Struthio camelus: one gene and its partner. The protein of the gene in region 1 binds, or shares a complex with, the protein of each later gene. Links are inferred from orthologs where the notes say so. Each region holds a gene or a part of one and is shown in the gene's direction. Other genes may lie near its edges.

Region 1 (15,063 bases):
GCTCCAGTGTTTCTTCCTACTGCTACTGCAGGTCTATTCTGGGCCTCTGCTGCTCCTTTTCAGTATAATTTTGCTTCCTGCTTCACTTCCATTATTCTTTTACACCCCATACTCCTATTACCACTTCCAAATACTTCTAATGCCCTTCTTTTTTTCCCTCCCTCCCCTTCCCATTTGATTCAGGTTATTGTATTCCTTCTTCTACTTATCACTTTCTCATTTTTTTGTAAAACATTAATATGCTGACTTTATCCTCTCTTGCAAGTCTGGAGCACAGTGTCACAGTGGCATTCAGTTGCTGTGGAGAAACTGCAGAAAGAAATCTCAGCTTCTCAAGTCTCAGATGGAATCTGTCTACACAGGCAGAGTGTAGGATCAAATTTTCTCAGTACAAATAAATCTAGGGAGAAATACTGCAATGGGCACCTTTAATTCTGTGCAGAGAGCATATGCTCAAGCTTGAGTACACTGCAGTGGCAGCAAGAAGAGGAAAATTCTTCAGACTTGTCAAATTGCTATTTCGTAACAGAGGGAGTACTGCGTATTTTGAGTAAATTTTCCTTTCTTGTAAAATAAAAGTTTCTTTGAATTTGTTTCTAGAAGTGTTTTAGATAAAACTTCCCAAAATAATTCAGCACGAAGGAGGTACCTGGCATGAAAACTAAACCTAACTATTAACCTAAAAATAAATTTTGGCAAAGCAACAAATGCCTAAAACCTGCCTTGCAGAAGGCAGTCTTTTTCCCAGAAAAGACTGGGAAATAATAAGATAGGCAGAATCATCAGACTCCCTCTAGAATAATAAGGAAAAAAATCAAAATAAATACCCAGCAGACAGTACTTAAGATTACTTCTCACAATTAAGGGTTACTGTGGAATGATATTTCATCCCTTTAGATCTTGTGCTATGATCTTGTAGTCAGACCTGATGTCACAGAGGACTTTTTTCTCCTCATGACTTTTTTGAGGCTCTTTATCTTCTTTTTAATAAGATGTGCATTTGAGTTCAGTAGAACTACTCACATACTTATTCAATCATACCTGTTTCTAAAGGATGATCACCTTGGATCTTTGTTTTGCTTGTTGGTACTTTACTACATCTTGTTGGAAAAAGCGTTTCAGGAGGTTTTAGGAAATACTGTTGTATGTGGGTTTTCTTTTTTTTTTTAAATTTAAACCAGAACTTAATGTTCACCAGAATTTCTCCCAAGATAACAGTTTGAGAGAAGAACTGGCTTAGTCAGCCAACTAGGAGTATTTCTTGCCAAAAGTTTTCGGAAACATATATATGTTTAAAAACCATAATGATATGTAAATGCCAGATCAAAGTTTCAATTATAAAAATCCAATAACAATTTTGGTGAAGTCCAGGCATTGCTTATTCTGCAAGCATATCTGTAAATAGCAGCTAAAATTTAAATTAAAAATGGAAAGAGTGAGTGTAATGACTTCTGTAGACTTAAATTCAATGGGGCATTAAAAGAAGCAGCTCTAAATAGAGAGCAGATAGTGGAATGATAAAAGGAAAAGGTGTGAATAGAAGAGAAACAGCATCAGAGCAACTGAAAATATCCAACATTTCACACAGCAGAATGTATTTAAGTATTTAATGCTTAATATGCTAATCACTCTTCAAATAGGAGGAAAAGAGGTGATGAAATAAAGTGATTTAGTGCAACATGGGTAATTATTGCAATGTTGATGTCCTCACTGTTTTGCAGAATACTTGCTTATTTTTTTACCTGAAGTTACTTTTATTTGGGTACTTGAAGTTTAACAACTGAGACTCTCACCTTGCAGATGCAACTTAATGATGAAAGCACTTGTTAAATATTTTTGTCGTTCTAGCATCATTGCTGAAGAGTATTTAGGTTATGTACTCTCCTCTCTTGTGTTCCATCCTACATCTCAATTAAGGATGGAAAACATTTAAATCAATTAAAGATAACGCAAAGGAGAAACTAATTTAATTCACTGGCAAACTGAGCTAATCACCATGGAAAGAAAGGCTGCTTGCACAGACTCCCAAAATACTAATTCTCTGTCACACCTGTCAGCAAGGCATTAAGGAGAGAATAATTTTTTCCTGACTATAGCTTTTTAGATACTAGCTGCCATGAGTTATGTTAGTGTTAAGTTGTAGGTCTGCATAGTGAAAGTAGCTGGAGTGGTCGGTGGACTACTCTGGTAGTTACTGTGAGGGATGGTAGCAAGAAGATTCCATAGCATTTGATAACAAAACAGTTGTGAAGCAAGACTCAAATGAAGAAAATAAAACAAAATCCCCCCAAAAGGGGGCTTCTAACCCCCCTTGGTATTAGAAGCCTTAAAGTAAAAGCTTGTGGATTAGTGTTATCTAACATTATTTCTATCAGACAGCAAAATGATTAGATTTGTATAGCTACAGCATAAAAGTTGCACTGGCTGATAGCAAACTGAAGCACAATTGATTTTCTACTGCACTGAAGAGACAGATAGTGTTTCAGAACATTAGCAATCCTAATGATATTTCCAGTCCTCTAGTTACCATAACATGAAACAATTTTTTTTGATTCTCTCTTTCTACATGTCTCCAAAGGCTCTGATTCTCTTTAGGATCCCATCTGAAGATGGTCAGAGATAAGATAGATTTACAGCTTCTGACTCAAGAAGGTGGGTTTTGGGAAGGAGTGCTAGTTTTTATTTTAATAGAAAAGACTTCTTTTACTAGGTCATTTAATCTTACTCCTACCCTACTGTAGATATTAACTCCTATTATATTAAGAATGTAGGTAGAGTAGAACAGTAGGTAGAGAGAAGCTTCCTCCTTGTCCTTACTCTGAAAAGTAACATATCTTTTCTAGTAATTCCTTTTTTTTAATGAGCTATCACATACTACTTATCGAGTCTTTTATTAAAACACAACCACAAGACACAGATATTTGCAGTAGAGTCAGACCATTTAGCACTAATATTTAAGTGCTGCTTATTGAACTTCAAAATTAATACTGCGCACATTAAAGTTAGTAGCTGTTTAGTATCACAATCTTACTCAGCTTTTTGACTCCTGTTTTCAGGAAGACAATGCTGGAAACAGAACTCACAGACGCAGTTAAAGTCCAGCAATTCCTTTCACTTTAAGTCCCAGTTTGCATGTGGCTTCCTTGCAAATTACTTAAAAGACATAAAAACTAAAATGCAATACCTAAAACCACCTAATCAGTATCCCTGGAAAAATCAGTTACAAAGTTACTCATGTTCATGATAATATCAGTCCTCTAATTCAAGCTCCAAAACCAATGAATGAGCTGCTACTTTCTGTCTCCGAGACAAATCACTACCTTTGCAAGTAGAAGATGTATACAGGCACTGTCTCCCTCTCCTAATTGACCAAAACCCCTGTTGGTGTGAAGGGCTTAGTAAATAGATGACATTTGAATTGTTTTTTTTCTAATATAATAGTTTTTGATTAAATGATTCAAGTAAGCATCATAATTAAAAGAGAAGCAAATCAAACAACAAAAAGGAAAGGTGTCTGTACCTATGCTGGAAACAAATGTATCCTTACTGCAAACCTGATACATTCAGAAAGAGAAGCCAGACAAGAAAGGTGAAAAATGGATACAAAGACCATTTGATTACTCTTTTGATGTTTATTTTTAAATTTAAATTCTGCTTTTATTTTCTCTAAACTATTGATAAAGGAAACAAAAGACAATTTCAGTTTTTACTCCCTCCAGTCAATTTGTTCTCCAACTCTGCTTGGGAAGGGTGCTGTTAGGCAATTTTAATATTTAGCTATGGTGAATCAGTAGGGATTGCAGAGGTCTATAATGCTGAGTTATTATAGGACCCAGCTTCCTTCCTAGCATATTCCTTCATTCCACAGTGCAATGGTTTGAAAGTTTACGTCATTTCTCACCTGTCAGCTTTCCTCCCAAGCACCCTATCTGTTCAGTCTTATGAGATATATCTCATTAGCTTTTATTTAAATAAAGGTATGACTGGTAAAGTAAGAATGATAGCATATGTTCTGAAATATCCTGAAGGTTAGGTACTTTTTCATGTACTACTCTGGTTCAAGTACATAGCTTAAAAACAGCCCATTTGAGATAGATTGCAAAGGCTGTGAGGGGAAAAAAGGTAAAATCATGCCAAAGTAGTGGAAATAAATTTTTATTTTTTCTGTTGTGTTATATATTTTATAAAGTGCTGGAGATGGCTAAGATTTATAGAAAAAGCAATAATATATAACAGAATAAAGACAGCCTGTCCCCTGGATTCTGCTTTTTCCATGGAACACTCTTTTTGGAAGTGATTTCAGTAAGGAGACTATGGGGTTTGCTGCACTGGAGTTGAGATCTTCTTCTGTGTCAGAGTAGCTTAAAGGACCTAATCCTTTAAGCTAGATGGGAGAAAAAATGGAATGGCAAAGTTATCACTCTTGGTATTCAGAAGGGGATTTGAGGTGTTAAATTCAGAAGACAAATGAAAGCGCTGGTATACATGGAGGGACTAAAAGGCGAAAGATGTACAGAGATTTGCACTTGCAAATGGCTCAGGGTTACTATAATAAGGAAGGAGACTCAGTGAAAATGTTTAGTCAGTCTTCTGATGGTGATATTACCTTGACAGTTGGAGAAAAGTCAGCAATGTGGTCTCCCAGAGATGTTTGGGTTTGCTGCTATTGTTTTAAGATGTTGTTTTATTCAGTATCTTTGTCAATGACCTGGAAAAGGGAGTGCATATTGAATGATACTTGGATGATGTTAAGCTCTTCTGGGTAATCAACTGTGGTGCGAGTGGCAAGAACTCCAGAAAGCCTCACAAAACTGAATGGATAGAAAAATGGCAGGTGGGCTTTGAGGTAGATTAATGTGAGGTAAAACATAGGATTATCTGCCAATCCTGGATATTTAAACTCAGAAAAAATCTTGAAGGTATTGTTAACAAGCCCTCTGAAATCTTTGGCTCAAAGTGCAGCAGCAGCTGAAGAAGCCAACGAAAAGTTAGGTGTCATCAGAAAGAGCAGAGACCAAGAGGGAGGGCAGCATGCTACTATGGGAAGCCTTGATGTACCCTTATCTGAAGTGAGTACAGTGTGCAGTTCTGGGCTGCAAGGGCACAGCAAATTTCAAGAAGGTATGGAGAAGGATAACTAAAATGATCAAGGGGGTAGATTGGCTGTCTTAGGAGGAGAGATCAAAGGGGTTAGGACTCTGACTGCGACAGGGCAAGGATGGGAGGCGTAGGGTCAAATTTTACAGATCAGGAAGGCACTGGATAAGGTGAATGCAGAACTGTTGCATGAAGAATACTAGAACTGGGGGCTATTTGCTGTTCTGGAATCTGCTGCCAAAGGAGGCTATGAAAATATACACTATCAGCAGGTTCAAAAGGGGACTAGACAAACCAATGGACAACAGGTCCATAAAATGGATTCTAAATGGAATAGGCAGGGATACCCCTGTTTGTACATCTTGTACAAACCAGAGATGTCAACATGCCTATTACAGCAATTGTGGATGCTGGGAGTGTACAATGCACAGAAAGTAAGCAGGTCTCCTTCAGTAGTATCTCCTTTTGCTATTGTTCTTGTTTATACAGATAAAAGCATAAATGCAATCTCCTAGTGCGACAAATTATGCTTTCAAGTTTTCTGCATTTGGGGAAATTGCATACCTTGCACTTGCAGGGTATGAGTCTCACTTGGGGAAAATGACATTTCAGATCATGGTGCAGCTGAAAACCAGGCTAGACGGACTACTGGTGTGTCTCAGAAGGGCATTTTCCGTCTTGAGGAGGTTCTGTGTATTACTCTGGCTAAGGTAAAGAGCTGCCTTTCATTGTACTCTGCTATTTTTGCACCATGTTTTTGCAGATAGAAAGCTGAGATACAGGCACTTCTATGAGGAGAGTACTGTTTTCTAGGATGTTCTTTGGGATGTTCATTGTCCCTTAAACGTAGGGCGATGTGAACACTGTCTTCACGAAATTCTGTGTAAAAGTTTTGGTCTTCATAATCTGGCTTTCTCTGTATGACATACTCAGCAAAACATTATTCAATTGTGTGTACATATTGTGAGTCTTCCATAAGATTATACACATTATTGATAAGTAACATCATACATTTATCATTTCTTTTGCCTGTATTTCTAGAAGGGGGCAAAACTAGTAAAATGAGTCTGCTTACGGTCGTCCAGTGCCCTGTGAGATGTGATGTTTCTTGGGGGAGGCACTGAGTCCACCTTCAGGAACCTGCTTCTATAGATTACACAGGGTAGTTCTTTTTAGGACTGGATCAGAAAGGCGCTGGCTGCTTGCTGTTCCCTCCCTAACCTAGAATTTAGGTCCCCACACAGCAGCATTAAAACTTCCCAAAGTATTTTCTGAAGAAACTCCGGTGAAACGCGTATGACTAAGTCAACAAATGACTGTTGAGAAGGTGGTATTTCGGCTCTCCGGTTACAGACGGGGCTGACGCGCGGGGTAGCGGCGGCTCCCTGCTGCCTCCTGCAGCCTCGCGCCGGCGTCGGCCGTTGGGCGCCCCCTCAGCGCTCCAACGGCCGCCAGCAACGGCCACTCGGGCGGCCGCCATGGGGGGCGCGCGGCACTCCTCAAACGGCGGCCACCGCCACGCTTTGCGCCCCTCCGCGCGAACCGGAGGGGGATCTCTGGTAACGCTTCAGGAGGGCAGTTTGAAGTTTAGCAACGGATTTCTTCTCACGAAGAGAAGCGCTGTCGGAAGGGCTCCCTCGTGAGGGTTAGGAACGCTATTACCGCTGAGCTGCAGAGAGCCAAACGCCATTAATCCCTGTAGTAAGCATCTTGGGGATGTTTGTGCTGTATTTTAACTATCTCACAATTAAGAGGGGGTGGAGAAACGGAGGAATACCTCAGAAAGTTGACCTCTGAAATCTTAGAGTCTAACTCCAGGCAAGAAATGAAGGCCAGACGGTAAATGGGGGGCTGGCCTCCCGTTGCCCTGCTACCAAGGCACTTCACCTTATTTCACTTTCAAATCATTCCTAGGCATCCTGATATGAGGTGAAAGTGTGAAGTGCTACTGTAGCCTGTTCTAGCAGGAAAAGGGAGCAAAAGATAAACATATTTGCAAACAGAGTATGGCAACACAATAGTTACTTTCACATTATACACATGGTTTTGCAACTTCAATAGCTGTATGAATATTCAGCTTGTCTACTGTTTTGTATATATCACTGTACGCATGTGCAAGTGCTCCATTAAAAAAAGAGATGTGTTCCATAACTTAAGAGCTGATATCTAGATAAGCCAGCACAATGGGAGGATTGCAGAGAAATTGTTCAACTTATGTGAAAAAATTATATCCTTGACTGCAAGTGCAGGATGCTTCCCAGTGATAATCAGTAATATAAAATTGCCAGACAAAATATTTTCTTTTTTGTGCCTGTGCAGTAGTATGTTCATTTTCCAGAAGAGTAGGACAAATAGTTCACTCTCAGAAATGTAAACAAGGGTAGTTTTGGGCCTGAAAAGTCATTTCTATGTAATAGTTTTTGCATTTTTATCTTGATAGGACTGATGTAGATTTGGTTAGAAGATGAGGATGTTTAACTGAGTTTAAAATTTGGATGAAAGTGAAGCAAGCTGTTTTAAATGTGTTAGCAGAAAGCTTGAGGAATTTATTTAAAGATTTAAAATATTAGCCAAGATGTTATAACTAACACACACTTTAAAAGATGATTGTATCCCACTGTAGACAAAGCCTTGAAAGTATTTCAGCAGATCTGCTGACTAGGACTTTCACATCTTTTAAATCATAACACTTTGGACACATCTATTGTCTTCAGACATCTCATTCGTAAATGTAGCATTTTCTATGTAGCAATGAGATTAAATTACATCACTTTTCTGTTCTTATTTTCCTGTCAGAATACCCCCTGAAACTCTTGCACTCACTGAAGTGCAACCAAAGGGTTTGATGAGCAATTGCTCATCAACTTTTTTTCTGCTTTCTCCACAGCTGAGCATCTTTATTCCTCATTGTTTTATAACAAGCATTTTATAATTCATATTGTCTTGGGGAAGTATTTATTTCATTAATTTGCACAGCAGAACAGCAAATCTACCACAGTTCATCTGTCAACTGATTGCACAGTCCTCTCTGGATTTGGGCCATTTGCTGCATCTCCTGTGCACGGTCTTTGATTTCTGAAACTGTTGGCAGTTTATACTGCTAGGATTGCTGAAGTAAGGTCGTCTGCTTGCCTGCAAACCTCGTGTTAGTTTTTCTAAGTCTCTTTTCTCGCTTTAAGCCATGATTCACAGTGGCGTGTAACTACTGAACGTCTTCCGGGGAGGTAGGGTTCGTCGCCGCTTCCCTTGCTGGAAAGTGAGGGAGGGCTGTATTGGGCCCCGGGGCACGGGTATGCATGGAGGGGGGTGGCGGCCGTGGCTCGCTTTCTCCCCTCGCCTGGAAGCGGTGCTTGGGGTCCTAGCCCGCGGCGCCAGGGCAGCGGGTGTCCCTGAGTGGCGTTGGGGCGCCGCGGGCCGGCTCGGCGCGGCGGCCGGACGCCGTTTCGCGGAGTTTCGCCGCGGGCCGTGTGACCGGCGGTCCCGGCGCGTGCCCGCGCCGGCGCGGCGCCGCGCGGGCCGGCAGGGGGCGCTGCTGTCCCGCACTGGCCTCGCTCGCTTCCCTCGGCGGTTCCATTGGAGCAGCCGGAGACGAGTTGGCGCCATTTTGAAGCCGACAGGGGGACCGGGGCGAGCTGCGGAAGGGGAGGGGGTTAGAGGCGATTGGCTGCGGCTACGGCGGCAGCTCCTCTCCGAGCCCAGAGCAGCGGCAGCGCGGAGCGGACCCGCCTGGGACCAGCGAGGCGAGGCGAGGCGGCTGCAGTGGGGTAAGGAGCACGGCAGCTCGGCCGCGGTTACCCCCCCCCCCCCGTCCACCGCTCCTCGGCGGGGGCGGGGGGCGCCAGCTCGGACCGAGCTCCGCGGCCAGCGCTTGAGGAAGAGGAGAAGCGCGGGGTGAGGGGGGGAGCTCTCCCCGTGGCCCGGGACTTGAGCCCCCTCCCATCCCCCCCACCCCTTCGCGGGGCTGCTCCCCTCCCCCCTTTCCCGGGGCTGGCGTCGCAAATTAAATTTGCCGCCCCCCTCCGCGCCCGCGGAGAGGCCCCGCGAGGGGGTGACCTTGGCTGGGGTGTGCTGTGCCCCCAGCTCGGCGCTGTGGTCTGGGGGTCACCCCCCCCCCCCCAGTGGCCGGGGCGCTCGCGGCTGTCCGGCGGGCGGCGTCGCGCGCTCAGCGCCCGTGGCTCCTGGCGGGGGGGGTAGTGGCGGGCGGGGGGAGGGAGGCTGTTCTCCAGCGCTGGTGATCGCGGCTCCAGCGGGTGTCCCCTCCCTGCCCCGTGCAGCTGGCCTAGCCCCGCTCGGGCTGCACCCAGGGCTCCCGCCGCCGCCTCGCGCCGCTGCCCGGGCTTGGCCAAAGACCCCCCCCCCCCCACCGCCGTTTCGTTCTCTCCCCGCTCTGCACTTAGCAGTGATCCTCGGCCGGGAAGAGGTGGGGACCGGGAGGACCTCGGTTCGGTGAGTCCCCACTTGCTGCGAGCTCGTTTCATTCAGGCTGATTTTTTTTTTTTTAATTCTTTGCATCAGGCTCTGTTAGAAGGCACCCGCGAAGGAAAGACGGGGGGGAGTAGGGACTGCCTTTTAGACGAAGGACTATGAATTTTACATCTAAATTGCCAGATGAAGAGTGGTTAATTTATAGGTTTTGTATTGTTTACGTTGAGAGCCTCTGGTCAGGAATCTAGGTCTGTAACTTCATCCCGCTGCAAATAAATCACTATCTATTTTTCAAAACAAATCAACAATTAATGATGGTGAGCAATGCTGGAAAATTAAACTGCAGCAGACCAGCTCCTACAGAGCTGGGTTTTGTTGTGCAAGCCTTATTCTGACTTGCATGTTTGACTCCTGAGCGGTTACTTACGGAGAACTCTGATCATTTGGTTAGGCATTCTATTTTCCGACCTAACACAACTGCTGAAATGTTTTTATGTTGGTCTTTGTTTTGCGTTTGATGGGTAGGTGCTTTGGCTGTAATTGACTTCTCTTTGCTGACGATGGCATAGATGAAATGCTTAAAAAGTGAGCGCCTGTATAGTTAAAAATGGGTGTCAAAGCCTGTGTTTTAGGAGGGAGGTAAGGTGACGTGCATGCCTTCAGGTTTTTTCCTTCCAAACCAGTGGAATTCTTCTATTTTTCTGTATTTCTGATAGAAATTCTACTCAGCGCATTTTCTGTGTAATATAGATACGCTATAAATATTGTATGTGCTTGTACAAAGTAATACTTCAGAAAGACATGAAACAGCTGAATTTACCTTATGCTCAGAGTATTCTAAAAGAAACTGAGAGTGATGAACGTGATACATACACCTCACTTAAATTATCTTTATCTGATTGTCTATCACTTACATCACTAGTGCACGCTTTCAGGAGAAAGTAGTTTAGTACTTGCGTGACATCTTGTGTTTGTGTTTGAAGTAAGGCTGTACTTTATTATGGTGAGGGTGTTTTTTGGTTTTTGGCTTTTTTTTTAGTTCTTATTGTACAACTGTAATTGCCTGTGTGTCTCTTGCGTTCTCTTCACTATTTATTGGACAGACTGGATAACTGTTTTGGCAAAAACTAAACTACAGTTTAGTTATTGTAAAAAGTAAATCAAATTCAAATGGAAAATCATATGTATGTAACATTTGTATGCTAACATCTTTTTATCTTGTGTGCCATATAAATATTACTTTAAGAATGTGTCTAGCAAGCTTACATATAGAGTTAAATTGAGCAAGTCGACTAAATTCTTATTAAGCTGTAATTAAAAATACAAGAAACACCGGTAGTTGATAGTATTTGGAAAGAGTATAGTATTAAAACATGAGCATGACCTCAGGCGTTATCCATTTTTGGCTGTAGAACAGGACGCTGTGCTCCCTTCCATAGAGCAAAAGAGATGCTTTTTCTGTTGGGATACATTGCTCCATCAGGATCTCAGGTTATGTTTTTTCTTTATTCTCTCTGATTCTTTCTTTGCTCACACAATTTGAGCCCATACAAAAGAGTAAAAGGTTGTATGGTCATATGTAGGAGTCATGTAGTAAAGGTTCTTCATTTATAGGTTTTGGACTAAATGTTTTCTTTAAGGCTAAGTTTTGAAGAGATGGTACAGGCTACTTGTTGCACAAGGAGAATTTCAGGGGAGCAGTGTCTAAGAAAACGTGAAGATGGATGATAAAAGTGTGCCAAGTAGGGAATGGAGGAAAGTAAGATACAAATGGAGCGAAACTGATACGGAAAAATAACAAATTCTAATGTCCCTTTTCCTACCTTTCTTTAATATTATTTTGCCCAAATGCTTACCTTCTACTTTCTTGATATAGTCTCCACCTCCCTCCTTCCCCCTCTCCCCCCCCCAGCACTTCCTTAATAAGTTTCCTTATTAGAACAAAAAGGTAGTTCTGGTACTGACAACTGGTAAGATTGTGTATCATACTTCTTTCAGTAAGTTTCTAAAGTAGTGGTGTTTGTACCCTGAACACAGAATCTTATTATTGTAACCTGAAATAGGCTTTGGAAAGACTGACAAAATCTTGAAGGCTTTCAGTCTGCTTTGGGAACTAGCTGGAAAGGGAAAACTGAGGAAACTCATTGCTTTTTTTTTTTTTTTTTTTTTAAGGGTGTTAGGCAGCGTGATCATCCTTGGTAGGAAAGTATTCATGTTGATTTACCCTGATTTGTAGTCTCATCTGGACTATAGTGGAACAGCATTGACAGATCCTGGAGGGAATCATGTGCAGACTTCTGAAGAATTGCAGAATATATGCTTTTAAAAAAATCTCTCCCTCAGAGGTTGAATATCTAAAATTGAAATTGTGCCTATATGTAGATAACATGCTAGCTGCTGTTTCATTGGTGAGGTTTTTTAATTGAATGTAGCTGCTTAGAAAATTTGATTTTCTGCTTAGTTTTGATATTTATCAAAATATATTCTTAAAGTAAAATATATCAGTAGAATTAGAGAGTTTGAATGAAAGTAAACCTTGTTATTTTAGTAAGTTAGTGGTTTATTTCAAAAACTCTTTGGAACATTTTGGATTCCACAATAAAAATACAATTATTTATATGAATAATTACTGTATTGTGTCTAACTTGAAACAATTTCATGGAATGTGACTAATATTTTAACATTTTGATTTTTAAAAAGAAACTAATGCTTCAACTATTTTCAAAGATTATTACTATCTGTCCCTCCTTCTCTGCCTATACTGCTTTTTAACCTTCTCTAAAATATGATGAAATATATAGTCCTTGAAGTAGGTTCTGAAGATTAAGTCCTTCAATTATTTTGTTCCTAACTATGGAATTTACTCTTTTGCATCCTATTCCAACAGTGGAAAACATTCTACAGTGTTTTCCTTTCCTTATATTGAGTGATATTGAGCTCTGTTATTTCAGCTGATGACAGCTTTGTTACTAATATACTGGAAAAGCTAATTTTGAGAAAGGAAAAGTCATACCTCACTGGGAACAGATGGATGTGTTTGTACTAATCATCTTGTCTGCCACCATTTATATGGTAGTACCTAACCAGGGATCAGGACCCCATCTGGGGCTTTCTAATTTAGGCCCTGTTTCTTTGGAATTGATTCTAGCCAATCCTAACTCTATGTACTTTTTCTCTGACTTAATCAGAAATCTTAGTAGATGCTTCTTCTGTCTAAATTAGACTCTTCATTTATGCATTTCTTAATGGAAAAAGAAATAGCGGTCAAAAATGTTATTAATTGCTCTCATAGTGTAGTCACCTAAACTACAGTTCATAGCTGTTTTAAGGAAGACAAGGTTATCATCATTCAGCTCGAGCATAATTGTTAATCATTTAGAAAGTAATTGTTGAGTGCAGTTTTCAGCTTTTGTGTGAAGATATCCATTTGTTGTCCACAACTTCTTTCAGAGCAGCCTCTCGTTCTCTCTGAGACGTCCCCAGTGTATCTACATTGTAGTTCAATTCAACATCAAGAATCAGCCTTCTGAAAGTCTTACAAAGAGAAAAAAATGACTTTGTTTAAAAAACAAAAACCTTTAACCCTTATCCGTTCTAAGTGCAAGCATATTAGTCATGAGGAAGACTTTAAAAAAAAGTCTGCATAGAAACTTTCCTTATGTAATCTTTGATTCACCTTGAATTTGACAATTCACTTTTATTAGTCCTGCTTTGCTAGACGGGTGTATGTTTTCAGTGAAGGCAATCAAATTGCTAGGAAATCTTTGGTGGTGCATAGGTTAGGATTCTGTTCTTAACCAGTAATAACTGTTCACGATTCTTTTTTGTTATGAAAAGTGGGCAGATTACTTTGTGGAAATCTTATTTTTTTTATCCTTATGGATTTTTTTTTCTATCGATACATACTTAAAATTTGTAAAAGTTTTTCACGGGGAAAATGTACAGGGATGATGGATAGTATCGTACTTAACAGTAAACCATCTTTGGTAATTATTTTGTTGTTTGCTAGTTCAGTATGAAGCATTGTACATAGTTCAATATGACTTCCTGTACATAGAAACAAAGAGATGCTACAAAAGATTAGTCTCTTCAATATGCTCTGTGGAAATTCTTGTGTAGGATGGTGTCTGTGTGCATTCAGTGTGCCACTTGTATCTTTTAAAGGTCTAAAGGAGGCGAACTGTGGACCCCTAGCTCATGGTATATAATATTCTTTACTTTGGATTTTCTACTTTGTGGAGTAGAAACTAGTAAGAATGAGGTTATAACACTTTACTTTTCTGGTTTTTGGAAATGGACGAAAGAGTACGTAAGTGCAATAATGCATTCTTAATATCAATAATGGAGTTTTTCAGAGGTAGCAGATAGGAGATGTTTCCTTTTTGTTTGCGCAGCTGAGATTAAGCAGTACATAATAACTCTAGGAAGCATTTTTGTAATTGAGGGTATTAACAATTGTGAAATTTGTGTTTGTATGTAGTTATCTGAAAGAAATATTCTAGTGTTCATTTTTGAATATTGGTGTATTTTGTGCTTTGAGAACTCAAAGCACTGTGAACATCTTCCCCAAGTTACAAATGTTGCTTGTAGTTAATTCTCCGCAGGGGCTTTCTTACAGTGTTGTAAAAGAGTAACTTTAGAGTAACTTTTTATTTCTGAATGGATCATTGCCTGCATCTTCTTCTATTTTATATAAGCAGATGCATTAAAACTACTCAAATTCCTAATTTTTGAAAGACTTAGTAAACATTATTTTAGTTAATTCCTGTCCCCCTCCTATGTATATGTTAGGGTAGTCTTTAGTTATGGTTTATAGAAAACTTTTTCATCTTCCTTTATTTAAGAGTTAGAACTGCATATTCAAGACGGCTGTCATATGTTCCTGAAGCTGGAAAACGTGAAATGAATTAACAGGGAGCTGTGGGAAGGGAAATCATGTCTTATTATTTGGGTGATTAAATGTCACTTTGAAATACTGGAATTTGTTCTTTCTATCAGTTTCTAGTGATGCCAGATAAGTCTGCTTAAACCAACTTTTCACAAGTGTTCATTAGCAGTGGGCTGATTTCTTGGGTGACAGGCTATAGACCCTGACTTCTCTTTTGCGTGGCTTAATAGAGGCTCTGTTTTCAGACATAGTGTGATAATATGGAGTGTTTTGAAGTTGTGCCCTAAATTTCTCTAATTGTGCAGCCAAAACTGGTGGATGTTTTTTAAACTTCAATCTGTTACTCAAGTTAGTCATCTGTGAAATGGGAATAATACCTACTTCATGGAAATGTTATGTAAGTAAGCTAATTTTTATGGCACACTAACGTACTCTAGTTATGAGTCCTGTACAGAATCCCATTAGGAATAAAGTCTTGTAAGAGGAGGGTTTAAATAGCGTGTAACGTGGGATGCACGTTAAATGACAGGAAGAAAAATTGAGTAGTTACTCCTTAAGTGGATCATATTCTTAATGCTGAATGAGACAAAAGTCCTGTGGTGGAAAAAAGTAGTGAAGGATCAGTTAAATCAACTCGTTTGTATTTATTATAT
Region 2 (14,577 bases), on another chromosome or scaffold:
GGTGTCACTGGAGTCCAGCAGAGAACTATTATTATTTTAGAATGTTCCATTTCTACTTAATCAAACCTTTATTTCACAGAGAAGCATTTGGTATTTACATGTGTTGACATGCATCCAGTAAAAACAAAGGACTGAAACCAATGATCTTTCAAATAAGTTTTTTTCCTCTCTCAGCTACTGATAACTGTCAGTGGATAACCCTGTGGATTGGGAGAGAACTCTGAAACTTTTTTCCTCTGCAAGATGCCTGAATTTGGTCCAAGGTGCTATTGACCAAAGTGATTATCTGATGGAAAGGTGAAGCCGGTTAGGCAGTGCCTCTGTGGTTACTGAGCCTTTGCGCCATCGGTGGGGGAGGACAGGGGGAAATCAAGCCAAAAAACCCAAATCTTCAAGTTCGTTGTCACCTGCACTGACATTTACAACAGAGTCTGGGAACTGAATGGGACGGAAAGGACGCCTACTGTCAGCCACAAAGCAGCTCTCGTCAAGTCTGAGAAACTTCTCACTTTTCCACTTTTCAGGTGGAAAAGCTAGCAGAAGCCCCACTGTTAAGATCTGTGTACACCTACCTCTAGAAATAAGCAATATGCTCCTACTCCGATGCTAATGTTTGTTTTTCTCCATTCTCAGAAGTAAATTCCAATAAATGTAAATAGTAGGAAACATCAGAAGTAATTTGTATGATCTATAACCTATGTCCTTAATTTTATGCAGGAATACTTTATTACATAGATCTTTCTCTGAAGATCTGGGTCTCACATCCTAGACCTTGTATTACAAGAAATGGAGCACAGGGCTGAATGAGATTGCTGAGGGTTGAGCTGAAGAAGAGTATGAAGTGATTTTTCTCTTGTTTTAATGAGCTGTAGTGCTTTGCTGCCATGTGGTTGCTAGACGGGTGATCAGCGAAGGTATTTTGTTTGTAATATGCTCTCAGGTATTTGCTGTCTGGAAGGCACAAACTAGCACCAAACAGATTCCTATGGCTACTAAGTATTTTCTAACCATTTGACATCATACATCAAAAGACAGAAAGAAAAGAAGAGTTAGATTTTGTTTTCCCCAGTTATTAAATAGACATGGTAAAAGGCTTATTTTTCATGAAGACCTCCGAGGAGGCATTTGAGTTAGCTAAAGCAGTCTTACTTTAAGCCTAAGCTCTTGTATCAGTACGTTCTTCCAACGTCTTTCAAACGTTTACCAAGGAATGACTGGGATGCACAGAACAGTAAACATTTATCTCAGAAATTCAAGATCACACATCCACTAGAAAACTTAGAGCGTAAGGAGGCCATTGCAGGCCAATATATTAGGGTAATAATCTGCTTTTGGACAGTAAATGCACTGCCTGTTCTGTAGTCTTTGAATGTCTCTTGATCCAGTAATGAGTCATTGCTTGATATATCTAAAGAACTAATCAATATGCAGGTTATTTTTTTTTTAGCCTTTTGTTATCTTCTTCAAATATAATTCTGAAATACTCTGTCAGCACTCATTAACGTGCACTTCCGTTGCATGCAGTAGGATGATCTTTGACCGTTACCCAGAGCATGGTAACTTTGTACGTAGGGAACCTTGTTAAATGCAGACAGGACTGCAGAACTGGCACAGTGTATCGGTGCTGGATGTATCAGGCTCTTATGCAAGAGGCAGGAGACATTGCAGCTTCCTTTATGGTACCGCGTGGTAATCTGAATAAAGGAGAAGTAATTTCTTTAGGGCTGTATTCTAGCAGGGAGCTAATGAAGCCCGTAACTGCTATTTTGCTACCCTCCTACCTTTTCATGAGAAAATCTTGATGCAATTTTTTTTTTTTTTTAATTTTATCAGCTTAGTTTGCTTGATAAGTACATTAATTCTCCTGTGAGGCTCAGGGAAACATCTATCCAATCCTCTTTAGTGCTGCAAGGTTTCAGCTGTTCCTGGATTTGCTTTTTTAGTTGTAGTTTACGTTGCTGCTGTTGGTATCATCACATATAACCCTTAAAAGACACGCATACTGCTCTCAGTGCAGCAGTAGCTTAGTTGTTTGACCTAACTTTTCTATGGTTCAATGTTTTGTAACTGCTGCAGAAGTGGTCAGTTACTGGCTGACTTCTACTCTTTCTAAAAAGTAGAAACAAGTACTTGGGAAACACAAAAGTGAAAACAAAAATCTTGTAAATAAAAACTCAGAAGGGGAACTGAGTGATTATAGGATCTGTGTATAAAGAGCCACACAAACTTAATAAAACGAACACTAAGAGGACAAAGGAATATAATGCTCACATATATGCCCTTTCAAACTGGTAAGGGAAGAAAAGTAGGAAAACGAACAACAGACATGGCGCTGGTCCTCTGTTGCTAGAGGAGGAGTAGAACAGGAGAATGAGAGTCCTATCAAAAGAACTCTTTATCAGAAAGAAGATTTGAAACACCAGTTGCTTGTTGCATTTTTGTGTTTTTCACTCCCCAGCAGATATTTTGTCAGACAGTGAGTTTTGGTAGCTTGTATTAAGGGCTGGCATGGTGAAGATAGACATAGATTCAGCATTCAACAATAATGTGCATCATCAAGCTCTCTAAGAAAAGTTGGGGGAGAGGGGAAGGTTGGTGTTGAATTTGGTCCTCTGATAAGGCTGCAGCAGATCTCAGGTATTCGAGAGACTCAGTCCCCTTTTATTCCGTAACAAAACAATGTGAACTTTACCTTACCAAAGAACCTAAGCTTTCTTTGCCTTGAAGGATCACTTCTAAATTAGGCTGCATCCTCACTGCAAGTGAGTTTTTCTCCTGAAACACCTTGACGTGTTGTAAATTCTTTGTGGGAAAAGGCACAGGCAGTTTATTCTCTCAGTGTAGCTTGCCGAGATAAACTCCATAGCGGAATAAAGTTCTGATCGTGACAAAGTACAAGAAGGTCGAGGCTACGTTGTGCTTTTCCCACTAGTATCTCACCACAGGTTTTTCCAGTAGACTTGCAGGCTGTTCACCTAGGGGAAAAAAATTGCACAGAACAAACACCAAGAATTTAGCCGTAGGTGAATGACTACTGTTGGTTTGTCAAGCAGAACTAGTATTTCTAGAGGCTTTTACATAACAGAGATGATGAAGCCTCTCACATGATTGCAACAGATAGGTGTACAGGCTGGAGAGAAGGTGGAGCAGCACAACTTTTTTTTCTGCTGGCTGCCTGGGGCTGATTCATTAGTGCCATGATCCAGAACCCTTTTATCAGCGAGAAGCAGCTCCTAGCTGCGCTTGTATAAGCATTCTTTTGTTTCCCTCAGTGGTGCTTGTTTTAATCTTTCCGTTATTAAACTTAATGCTGGATCTTGGCCACCTCCCATGATGAGAAAGCTACAGTATGATACAAACACTGAAAAATGTGATCCAACACTGTATCAAGCTTCCCCTTTTGGATCTTTTGGAAAGTGGTCGGTCTTCTCAGGGTTCCATGTCAGTAAATAAGCAATATTCTACTCGGGTGAAACACCTTAGTAAGAAAAGCCATTTTATTGACAAAAATCACAGTTCCTTACAAGCTGAGTTGCAAACCTCTCCCTCTCCGCTGGTGTTAAGTGCTGCTTTACGGTCCACTCTGATCCAGCTGCTGGTGTTCTCAGCACGGCGCAAGTGCATTTTTCTACCCACTCCCAGACTACCACTGGTGTTGCTGAACTTCCTCCACCTCGTATTAGCAGTGATACTAGTGTATAAATAACTATTTTCAGAGCTATTTCAGAGAGGTTGACTAAAACATGATAATTAGGTACTTAAGGCATCTATTCACCCTCCTTTCATCTTTGCTATGCAAATAGCAAGGGGAAAATTCCATCCCCCGCCAAGCGAATGGCAGAGCCCTGAGTGCTCTCACCGGGGCATGCTGGGTGACACCTCCTGAAGGACAGGAACGGGAGGAGACTGACATTTTACAAAGAAAAACCAAAACACATGAAATGTTTAACATTTTAAGTGGCACTAATTGGGACATGAAAGCTTTGCAGCAGCTGTGAATGCAGCAGGACATCCTCTTCTCCCCCATCCTTTCCCACCTGGAAGAAAGGCAAGGAAGGAAGGATTGTTGAAAGCTGGGGGGAACATGGGAAGCAAAGAGGGGCTAGGCTGAGACACAGAAGAAGAGGAAAGAGGAGAAGACAGAGAAGAGGACTGAGGGGTTAGTGGGTTTCATGATCCTGAGGAGAGAGGTCTGGATGTTAGGAATAATAGAGCCTTCCTGTGAGTTAATGTTTGCCTTTGGCAAACAGTGTTTAGCAGGGCCTGGGGGCAACGGGTTATTGAGCTCGTTCCCCTTTTATGGGAAAAGGGGGTGCAGGGAGGATGCGTTACGCTGTTAATTCAGATACTTGATATAAAGGATAGTTACTGTTCTGATTTGCATAAAAATCTGCTTGGGAGCCTAACTTTAAGTACACACAACTGTCAAATGCTAGTTTTGGCCATGAAGATAAGCCAAGCACTGAGAAAGCTTTCTGACAGCTTCTAAAAGGACGCTGCTGTCTTCATCTTTCCCCATAGTAACTGCTAACTGGGAACTCTTCCATTTTCCTACTGTGTTGCCTCCATTTTCTTCTGGAGGAAAATGTAAGTTGAAACACTTTTTAAAATCTTGTAATGGCTGCTGAAAGATTGAATCATGTAAATGGCTCCATCCTTGGCTATAACTTATTTTGAAAAGTCTGCACTGTACCCCCATAGAGATCTCAGCATAGAACTTGAGAAACAGAAGTGGGAGGGTTCATCATTATCAGGATGAGATATGTCTGAGTAACTCTTCTGTCCTTACAAGTTTCTTCTTCTGCCCTACTTTTCCCTCTTTTATCTCTAGCCTTGAAGCATTTGAGCTGTGTTTTTCAGTGCTTTCTGACTTTATTACTAGTAATGATGCTTGTTTGGGGGGGGGTATGGAATGTGATAAGAAAGCTGTAGAAGTCTGTCTGTCTGTCTTTCTATTTTAAGACAGGAAATTTGAAGACTTAAGATGGCTGCTTACCTCTCACTATTTTCTTTATGGAGGCGAACGCCAAAATGGAGTGTCCCCTCTGTATCTGTTTTTCTGTAAAGGAAGATGGCAACTATCAGTAATAGAATTCCACAAAAGGAGTAAGATGCCTGTTAAACTCCATCCTTTAGGAGAATTAAACCCACCTACTGCCAAGAGTAGGTGGGATTTGGCTTATATTTGCTCTGTCTTGGTACTTGCATATTTGAGGTAAGCCAGATAAAATAGAAATAGCGAAGATTAACATGCTGTTTGCTAACTTATTAAGGTATTTGGTATAAACATTTTCAAAAGTATCTAGAGTAAGGTAGGTGTTAGAAGAATTGGCCTGTCTCTCCTGTTCTTGAACATGACAATTTGTTAGCTTTCAAATAAGTGAAAGGTTTTATTAGCCTTACAGCCTTCTGCTAATACCAAAAAGAGGATAGTCAGCACATAAGTTAGGTTAAACTTACCCTCTGTTAGTCACGTGAAATTTAAGCGTGACCGTGATGCTGCAGTGCTTTGGATTACTGTATGTGGGGATTCCGCAGAGCGTAGAAATACTGTTGGAGAGACGAAGCTCGCCGGCAGGGGCTAGGGTACGTGAGAGCTTTCAAACAAACTACTACTAGCCAGCGACTGTCACTATCCTGCCAACTCTTCTAAACTGCTGCTGCTTAAGTGACTTGAGTAGCAGTAGCTCAAGCTCTAAAATTTCTATTTTATTTCCAAATACTCCTAGAAAGTATTCTCAAACAGCTTGTTATTAACAGTTTGTTAGCCTTATTCTGGCTATGTTCCTTATGTTTTGTGCCTCTCAGAATAGAGTTGTTTATGCTGTAATGAACTCCACAGAGCCTGACTCCTGTGCTCATTCTGAGTTGTCACAGGACTGTTTTTGGCTCTAACAGAGCAGTTAGTCACCAAATAAGATTTTTGAACTCCTGCAATAGAATGCAAAACTCAGGCTGGTTTAGACATCCATTTTACTCTTGAAGTTTAAACCAGCTAATTAGCAGCTCTGCTAAAAGAATTGTCGTGGGGGCAGGCGGGAGCTGCTCACCCATTTGTATTCAACTTGTGTATTTTAAAATGTATAACCTGTTTTTAATAGCTCTTCAATCACCGAGTCAGGTGGTTAAGATGTAAATAATCTTTTAAACCTTCCTTCAAACAGAATGAGCACCTCTATCATATTGCAAATCAAGCCTGCACTTCTCATCACGAGGCCCTGGTCTACTTTATCTTCGCTTTCTCTTTCTAGTGGCAATTGTATAGTGTCTTTTAAGGAACACGTTTGGAGAGTTTGTTCTCTAAAAATACTACCTGTCAGTACATCAATAGGTGTCAGGTAAAGGCAGAAAGTTGGTTTACTGACAGGATCATTAAACAAAACAAGACTCTGTCACGTCTACTAAAAAAACTATTGAATTTGCGTTGTGTGAAGGAAAGGGAAAAATCGAGGATAAAAGTCATGATTCTTAACTGCAAGTTCGGAGACAACCCTAAGCTCTTCCGTGCAGTGGTGTCAGCGGGTTCCCCCCCTTCTTAATTTCCAGTGTTTGGGGCCTGTATTTTAAACCCTTTCTGCAGCTGGCAGGCTTGCTAGCCGCTCGCTGAGACTGCTGTTAGGCTCCGGGGGGGGGGGGGGTGGTGGTTTCTTCAGAGGAGCGAGCAGCTCGGAAACGACCAAACTCTCGCTGTGGTGGGGGGGAGCATCGGCGCTGTGTTTGTTCCGTGCCGCGGCGGCAGCCGCACGGCCCCCCGCGCCCCGCAGGGCTCCGCGCCGCGCCCGGCCGGGCCGGAGCGACTCGCGAGCCGCCGGCGTCGGACCCCCTCCCCCACCCCGCCAACTACAACTCCCAGCAGGTGCCGCGCGGGGCGGGCGCGGCGGCGCCGGCGCGCGCGGGGCGGGCGCATGCGCGGCGGCGCGGCCGTCGGTTGAGTAAGGCGGGGTGCGATTGGCTGCGGGCGGCGGCCGGGTGCGGGACGCGCAGTGACGGAAGGAGCGGGGGGCAAATGGCGGAGAGATGGTCCCGGGGCCTGTCCCGAGCGCGGCGATAATCCCGGCGCGGAGGAAGCGGCGCCGGAGGAGGCGGCGCCGGGGGCCCTAGCGCCTGCGCCCGCCCGGGAGGCCGCCGCCGCCGCGGGGGGAGGGGCGGAGGCGGGGGAGCCCCGTCGGCGAGCGCCTGTCGCAGGCGGCGGATCGGCGGCCAGGAACCGCGGCGAGAGCCACATCCGTGGCGCCGCCGCAGCGCGCCGGGCCGCGCCGGGCCCCGCCGCCCCCGCTGACGCCGAGGTAGGTGCCGGCGCGGCTGGCGGCGGCCGCCCGAGGCCTGCGCGGGCCGCCGCGGCGGAGCAGGCCCCGGCGGGGCGGCCCCCGGCCCTCTCCCGCTTCCGGGGCGGCGGCGGCGGCGGTAGCGCCCCCCCAGCGGGGAAGGCCGGGGCGGCCGCGGCGGGACTTTGCTCGGGGGCGAAGGGCGGCCGGGCCGGGCCGGAGCCCGCGGCGGGGGGGAGCGGCCGGCGGGGCAGGCTCTGCCCTTGGCAACCGCCTCGCTGGGCCTCGGCCGCCGCGCGGGCCGGGCCGGGCCGGGCCGCGGGGGCTGCTCTGCGGCCCGGCCGGGTTTTCCTCCGCGGCGGGGGAGGGGGCCCGCGCGAAGGGAAATGACATCAGGCGCGGCCGGGCCCGCACGGCGGGGCCACCCGGTTCCGCCAGCACCCGCTGCCACCGGCACCCCCCCGCCCCCCCGCAGGGGGAGGGGAGGCAGAGAGAGAGAGAGGAGGGGAAAAAAAAAAAAGAAACTGTCACCGTGGGATTTCATCAGCTGCTCCTGCCTCCGTGCATTTAACCTATTTTCCTTTCCTTCGATTATGTAAGAGGGGTGGCGTAGCAAGGAGCAGCGAGGAAAGATGACTGATGTGCCTTCTTTACGATTGTCGGTTGTTTATGTCCGGTCGGCCTGGCAGGGTAACTCCGGAGAACACAGGCGGTTTATTTTTCGGTTTGTGCTTGTATTTATCTTTCTTGTCCTACTCCACATACTGCAGCACGAGGTGTGGAAAGGAGAGAGGCAGGGAATGGAAACAGAGTGAAATTGGCCGAGTTTATTATTTTGCCCTGAGTGAAAAAACAAGGGAGAATTGAAAGTGATTAATTAAAAAAGAAAAATCCTTTTCTGTTGATATTCTGATTTAAGGAGGTACATACGTCTGTCCTTATCTTTAATCAGACTTCAAGCTATGCGTTTATAGTATAGGGTACTTATCTTTCCCCAGACACTCATCTTTTAACCTGTTTCCATCACGTAGCATATATATATATTTGAGTATTGGCCGTTTTGTTCAAATCTTCTTTAGAGAAAGCTTTAATTTTTAATCTTGTGAATAGCACGGTCTAGAGTGTAGAGCTCTACTTACTGAAAATGAAGTACTTTTGGCTACAGAAATCTTTTTTTCAAAACTGAACAGCACAAGTCACAGTTTAAGCCTGCCATTATTTTTTGCGGATGCTGAAAGGGCAAACTGTTGGGAATATTTATTTAAGTCAGGGAGAAAAATGTGCTTGTGGTGAGCAAAATGAATTTTTCCTGATAAGAGTTACATAGAAATTCAAATGTTATTAAATAGTTCATTTTTTATAGCTGTAAAAACTGGCCTACTATGAAATATTTTGATTTCTATTACAAGTATTTTCAAGGAGCGGTGAAATAAAACTAGTAAGTTTGATTTGTTTTGCTGTTCATTTTCTAAAATATGTGGGGAGACTGTAGTTTCACTCTTGGATGGAAAATAGGAAATTAGCTAATATCAGGGGAGCAAAAACAGTAGTTTGACGGCCATGTTAGGAGTGCCGCACAGTAGACAGGTGACGCTATGGGAAGAGAGCGCTTGCTGTTTAGTTTAATTCTGAGTAGCAATGAGAAGTCCGCAGAATGGTATTTCATAGCACAGTTCTGGCCAGTACATAAGCATATGCCTTTATCATCCATCTGCTTAACTGCTGGGGAGTTGAATGTTTCCCAGCACGGTTGTTCCTGGATCTTCTGCATTGCAACACCATCTGGTTGGTAAACTTCTGAAACTTATTTTTTAGTTCACCTAGCCCCACAGATGACCCTAGGAATTGCTTGGTTGGTACCATAAGTGAAGCTTGGCCTAGTCTGATAACGGGAGACTATTATTAGTGAGACGATCTTGCTAGGCTGCAGTGATAGAATGACATTTTTGGAAAACAGTCTGGCTTTTTTGGCAGAAGTAAGTCCGGTATTTCAGGTTGAGAAACAGCGTGTATCATGATGAGAACTAAAATATGAAAGACGGACAGTACGCCACCGATTCAGGGGAATAAAAATAGTTTTTTCTAACAAATTTATAGTGTGCTCACAAGTTTATTAATGAAGATTTCAAGCCCTTTTTTTTATACTTTAATATATATGCAAAGGGTTGGCACTTTAAAAGTTGTTTCTTTAATTCTGTAGCTTAAAGGAATTTTTTTCCCTTTTTCCTAACAGTTTTTTTCTACTCTGGAGAGTACTTTCAGACAAAAGAGATGGACTTGGTTAGAGTCATATTGACTATTTAAAAAAAAAAAAATCTACTTTCCTGTTCATGTTAGGGCTGAAAAACTTAATAATAATAGTTAAAAAAAAAAAAAAAGATAGAGATTCTGGTTTGTAAAGTAGATATGTTAGCTCTATGTTCTATATTGTCATTTGTCTAGGAGTCACGGTATTTGTTTTGGCAACAAGAAACAAGCTGCTCTGTCTTCCTTCTTGAATCAAACAAAAGCAGCAATAGAACACACCAAGGGAAGTGTTTAAATGTGTTTCTGTTTAATCTGTTTATATTTAAACTTTACTCTTTTGACAGAGCAAGCTCTGAACTGGGCTACAGCTATAACAGCCAGTAAACAGTGATCATTTGTGTTTGTTTGCAGTAGGTATCCTCCATGTTCTTAGAAACGAATTTAGAAATGTCTGTTCCTGTCCGTTCACCAAATCAAGCCCAGCCATGGGGGGTTGCTGTGTACTGGTTTTGGCCATGACTGTGCAGATGGTATAAGCCACAGGGTATTACCACAAAATATGCTTACTGTGTAAGCCTGAGCTTTTAAGAAAAGCATGAGGTGAAATTGTTATTTGTGACGAATTCGTATTTAAAACATCTATATCAAGTTGGAATATTTTGACAGTCCCTTTAATTTTTAACTACGGAGAGCCTTCTTAAAATGATACTGTGTTATGGGATTCTAGCGGAGTGCTACACGTTCAGATGTGCTGAAAGTATTGTTTTGTTTTTTGCTGATGTTTCATGGAAGCAGTGCCATCTATACTAGGAGATATAAAACTAGAGCAAAGCACATACCAAAAATAATGCACTCATAGCAGATTCTTCTTACAGATTCATTGTGCAATATCTTTATTTTATAAATGTGCAAGTAACTGGATTTCAGGTTAAGTTGATGGATGTGAAACTTGTTGCAGAAAATGTTGACAGATAATGGCGTTCACCTGTGGATGAATTCAGTTAGTCTGTAGAAAGGAACTGATGATGTATCTGTTGTTAATGTGAAGCGTGAATGTCTCGTGCTCATAGGCCCAATAAAGGGTGGAATTGCAATCGTTTGTACTAAAAAGTTAGTAAAGCTGTTTCTTCTTTCTTTTCCAACAGAGAATATGAAACAGGAGCCAAAATGACATCCCGATTTGGAAAGACCTACAGCAGGAAAGGAGGAAATGGCAGTTCAAAGTTTGATGAAGTATTTTCCAACAAACGGACCACCCTTAGTACAAAATGGGGAGAAACCACCTTCATGGCCAAATTAGGACAGAAGAGGCCCAGTGTCAAACCAGATATTTCCGAAGTTCCTAAAAAACCCAAAGTTGAAGATGAGGTAACAGAGGATCCATTTGGATTTGACAGTGATGAAGAGTCTCTTCCCGTGTCTTCAAAGAATGTGTCACAGGCTAAAAGCTCCTCTCAGCTGGAACCCGGTGAAGCTGCTCAGTCTGAGGACTTCACTTCTCTACTTGAAGCTAATAGCAGAATTAATCAGCCAGACAGCGGAGAAAACATTGTGTCCAGCAAGTGCATATCTTTTGATGATACTGTTCCCAGCTTAAAAGAAAAGAGCACAAGCAAAAACGTAGAAGATGGAGAATGCAAAGGCAGCAGTGCTAAACTCGTAACTGCAGGTACATTGACCCAACTGTCTGAATAGTGTTGTTACCCTCTAGTTTTTCAGATCTACGCTGAGGATTAGTGCTTTCTGAGGTTGATTAAATATTCTAATCAAACCTTGGGGCAGCTGATTTTTCATCTCCTTTTAAACTATAAGTGCAACGAAACAATGTATGTCTTGTGTTGGTCTGGGATCCTTGGTACTCGATTCCTTATGTCTGCAAATTCAGATACGGTGCTTTAAATTCAACATAATGCGTTAGCCCACTTTGTGTAGAATGGAATAATTATCTTCCTTTTCTGACGTTTGTTCTGAGCTTTGTGCTTTCATGTCTTTTCAATATGTGGTATCATAAAAAGTGAAGGTTTGGTAATAATGGAATGTAATGTTCTTAAGATACTGACTCTAATTTAGTGTAGGTAAATGGGGATAAGGCTTGCTGCCTGCCTGCTTAATGATTTGTATGGAAAAAGTGGGTGCTCTGAATTTCTGTTGCACAGAAATATGTTATTTTTCTCAATTAGCACACTTTTTATCAATGTGTTTGTAAAAGCTTCAGACTTAGGAAGCAGAACTCTGTCAAACTTCTAATAGGGGCTGTTTTCAGGCCCCAAAGTGTCTGTTTATAGGATAACTTTCTGATTTTGAGCGAGAATGCACAAACCCCGTGGTGCTAAACATCACTCTAGTTTTGTTCAAGTCATTCTTGGATAAAGATCAGGTGCCATTATATTTCATTAGAAGTTTTTATATAATGGGCTGATTAAACTGCAACTCCTAACATTGGGCAGAAGATCACATTAGATGAATCTTGAGGAAGATAACAGCTACTGACTTGCTCTAGATTGTCACAATGGACTTTAATGAGAAGAACTTACGTAACTCTGAAGTCTGAGGTATAGCTGACTTATCCCTCGGATCAGAAATTTGAGTGGACTTGTTCACTTGTTATACAGTAGACAAGGAAGATACTGAATAGTGTGAGATTTGTGTCACGGTGTAAGAGGAACCAAAAAATGTTGATGAAACTGTAGTCTGTCAGAAACAAATGTTAGGCTACGTAGTTTTTACCCTACCCAATTTTACCCCTATTTTTGCTGCTGAAATTATTCTTATTTTTCATAGGGTTCTGCAGTTTATTTGTAAGTACTATGTGAATTCAGGCTAGAAATGAAATTTATGTTCTATTAACATAAAGTTATAAAAGTTTTCAAGAGATTCCTTCTCTGCTGTTTCATCTCCTTGTAAACAGTGATGAGTTTTGTTGGCTATTGATGAGAGAGTGCAGCAGAGGGGGTGTTAGAATGAAACGATTTCCATGTAGGAGAGCCTAGTGAGAAAGTGTTTTTCGATTTAGAAGAGAAAATATTTCGAGTCTTTTGGGGATAAAATAACTTGGGGAGGAAACGTGATTAGAGCTCTAAAAATTCCCAATGCGTAAAGGGCCAGGAGGAACTGAGTGCAGCAGTTTCGTTGCTGCTTTCTGGTTCTGGTGTTGTGGAAAAAATAAAATATTTAGAACAGGAAATACTACTTCATTTGATGCTTCTTTAAATTCTAGAACTCCTTTCAAGAAAATAATAGTTGTGCCATAAATATATATGTTCTCGAAAAAGGAAACTGATAAGTTTTGATGGATAAGTTCACCAGTGATGTTTGAATGTAAGGGTGGTCTGGATGTAGGCAAGTTACTTAAACAACAGTTTACTGAAGGAATATTGTTCTTGCCTGTGTTCTCTAAGTACTTTCTACTGATTGCGAATCCGTCAGAAATGGAATGATGGCCAAGGTGGATCTTGCCCTGATAATGCCGTTCTTTCTGAATTTCCTGTAATGAGCAGTTTGCACCTAGTCAAGTGAAGATTAAAAACCCACTTCATAATTTTGTTCTTCAGAAATCAAATTAAATAGAGACTGAATCTGCCTAACATCCCTAGAAGGGGCATTAAATAAGGGTAAGGAAACAAAGATTATGGTTTTAGCGATAGTGTTTGTTTCGGCATTTAGTGCAAGTGAAATTTGAATAGATTAGGCAGCTATTATGCTTGTAGGTAGACTTATCTGAAGTAAATAAAAATAGTCTCTGAAAGCGTCAGAGGGTATAAGGTAAATTGGAGGGTATAAGGCTATCTTCTAGAACTGGAGGGAGGTAATCTTATTGTGTGTGTGTGTGTGTTTTTTTTTTTTTTTGAGGCGGGGGGAGAGAGGGAGATTGGAGAAGAAGAATCTGTATGACAATAAAAAGTTTGTTTCTTACTGTGTGGTTTCCTAAGGTAAAGTGTACCCTTGCTCTCCTTGTAACCATTTTCACTTTCCCTGCTGCTCCTGACCTCAGCCACATTCAGCCAGGTTTGTGTAAAGGGTATATAGATCCTTAAGCTAGTAAGTTCTACCGTTTCTGGAAAAAAAAAAAAAAAAAGCAGATGGGTAGAAGAATATTAATATTCCTCATATAAGAAATCCCTCAATGTGAGGTCAGCCTTTTTTATACGTGAGTAAACCCAAACAAAAAGCTTTATCTCTAGATGCAGGAAACCGGGCTATATTGATACTGATGTTCATGCAGGTGCCTGTTAACTTGTTTTAAGTGCAATTTTCTAGTCCTCGTCCTGCTGCTGACTGGATCTTGCGTGATTTAGGTGTCAGGACTTCCTGATAGCACGTGTCATCGTTATGCCTTAATCCTTAACCTAAGATAAGGTGAAAACTGACTTTAACGTGGCTATGCACAAAGTGAGAGCTGCAATCTAGTCTGCTAATTTTACTCCAAATGTATTTTCCTGCCTTGATGTTAATTTCTTTAGATGTTAAAATCAAGGTGATGCAACTTCAGTTAATTCTAACTAATGCTTGGTATTTAAAAAAAATGTCCCTTTCTTGCTTAAGTTGTACAACCTTGTAACACAATTAAGGATTCGTGTCTTTTGTTTAAAATGGTGTGGCTTATTGGTCTTTTTTTATATATAACCCTCAGCTAGTACTTGTAACAATCTCATTTTAAAAGCTTTGAGAAGCTCTTAACGTGGAAAGCCTCTTGTCATCTTACTCTAACATTGCTTGATCAAGACTTAATGCTGTCTGAAATATGTCCCTGAGTAATCCTGTACGTAACTGAGGTAATTTAAAGATGGTAGGAGTTCAGGTAACTCAGAAATAGTGAGAGAGTATCGGGTATTAATAGTTACTATTGGAGAACAGATTTTGTCAAAGTAGAAAAACTTGATAGCTAAAAAGTAAGCTGCCTCGTTTGAAAATTGTTAAACTAGTAGTTCATACCAAGCGAAAACACAAAAAATTAGTTGGTAGAAGGTAAAGTTTTTTGAGAGAGAGAGAGAGAGAAAGGCTTGTAGTGGGATGAGGTGGAAAACCGCAGAGCAATAATTACTATTTTTTTCCTGAGATACCTTGT

What was found.
Region 2: the proteins of PDS5B (region 1) and WAPL are in contact, whole or in part, in a crystal structure (PDB 5HDT), measured with the Homo sapiens proteins. The link is inferred for Struthio camelus from reciprocal best matches to the Homo sapiens genes PDS5B and WAPL. Residues at the interface, in NP_055847.1 of Homo sapiens: Gln47, Phe88, Ala92, Pro93, Ala95, Trp137, Val138, Lys139, Ser140, Asn142, Ile143, Phe145, Glu146, Glu187, Gly188, Asp189; in NP_055860.1 of Homo sapiens: Lys7, Thr8, Tyr9, Ser10, Arg11.

Annotation. Positions count from the first base shown.
Region 1 is NC_090942.1:198,624,209-198,639,271, reverse strand, and holds the start of PDS5B (sister chromatid cohesion protein PDS5 homolog B), read left to right. Parts: upstream 1-8,732; 5' UTR 8,733-8,861; intron 8,862-9,524; exon of another isoform or gene 9,525-9,543; intron 9,544-15,063. UniProt on the Homo sapiens protein: Regulator of sister chromatid cohesion in mitosis which may stabilize cohesin complex association with chromatin. May couple sister chromatid cohesion during mitosis to DNA replication.
Region 2 is NC_090948.1:33,734,231-33,748,807, forward strand, and holds the start of WAPL (wings apart-like protein homolog), read left to right. Parts: upstream 1-7,625; 5' UTR 7,626-7,897; coding exon 7,898-7,989; intron 7,990-8,846; exon of another isoform or gene 8,847-9,050; intron 9,051-10,657; coding exon 10,658-11,181; intron 11,182-14,577. UniProt on the Homo sapiens protein: Regulator of sister chromatid cohesion in mitosis which negatively regulates cohesin association with chromatin. Involved in both sister chromatid cohesion during interphase and sister-chromatid resolution during early stages of mitosis.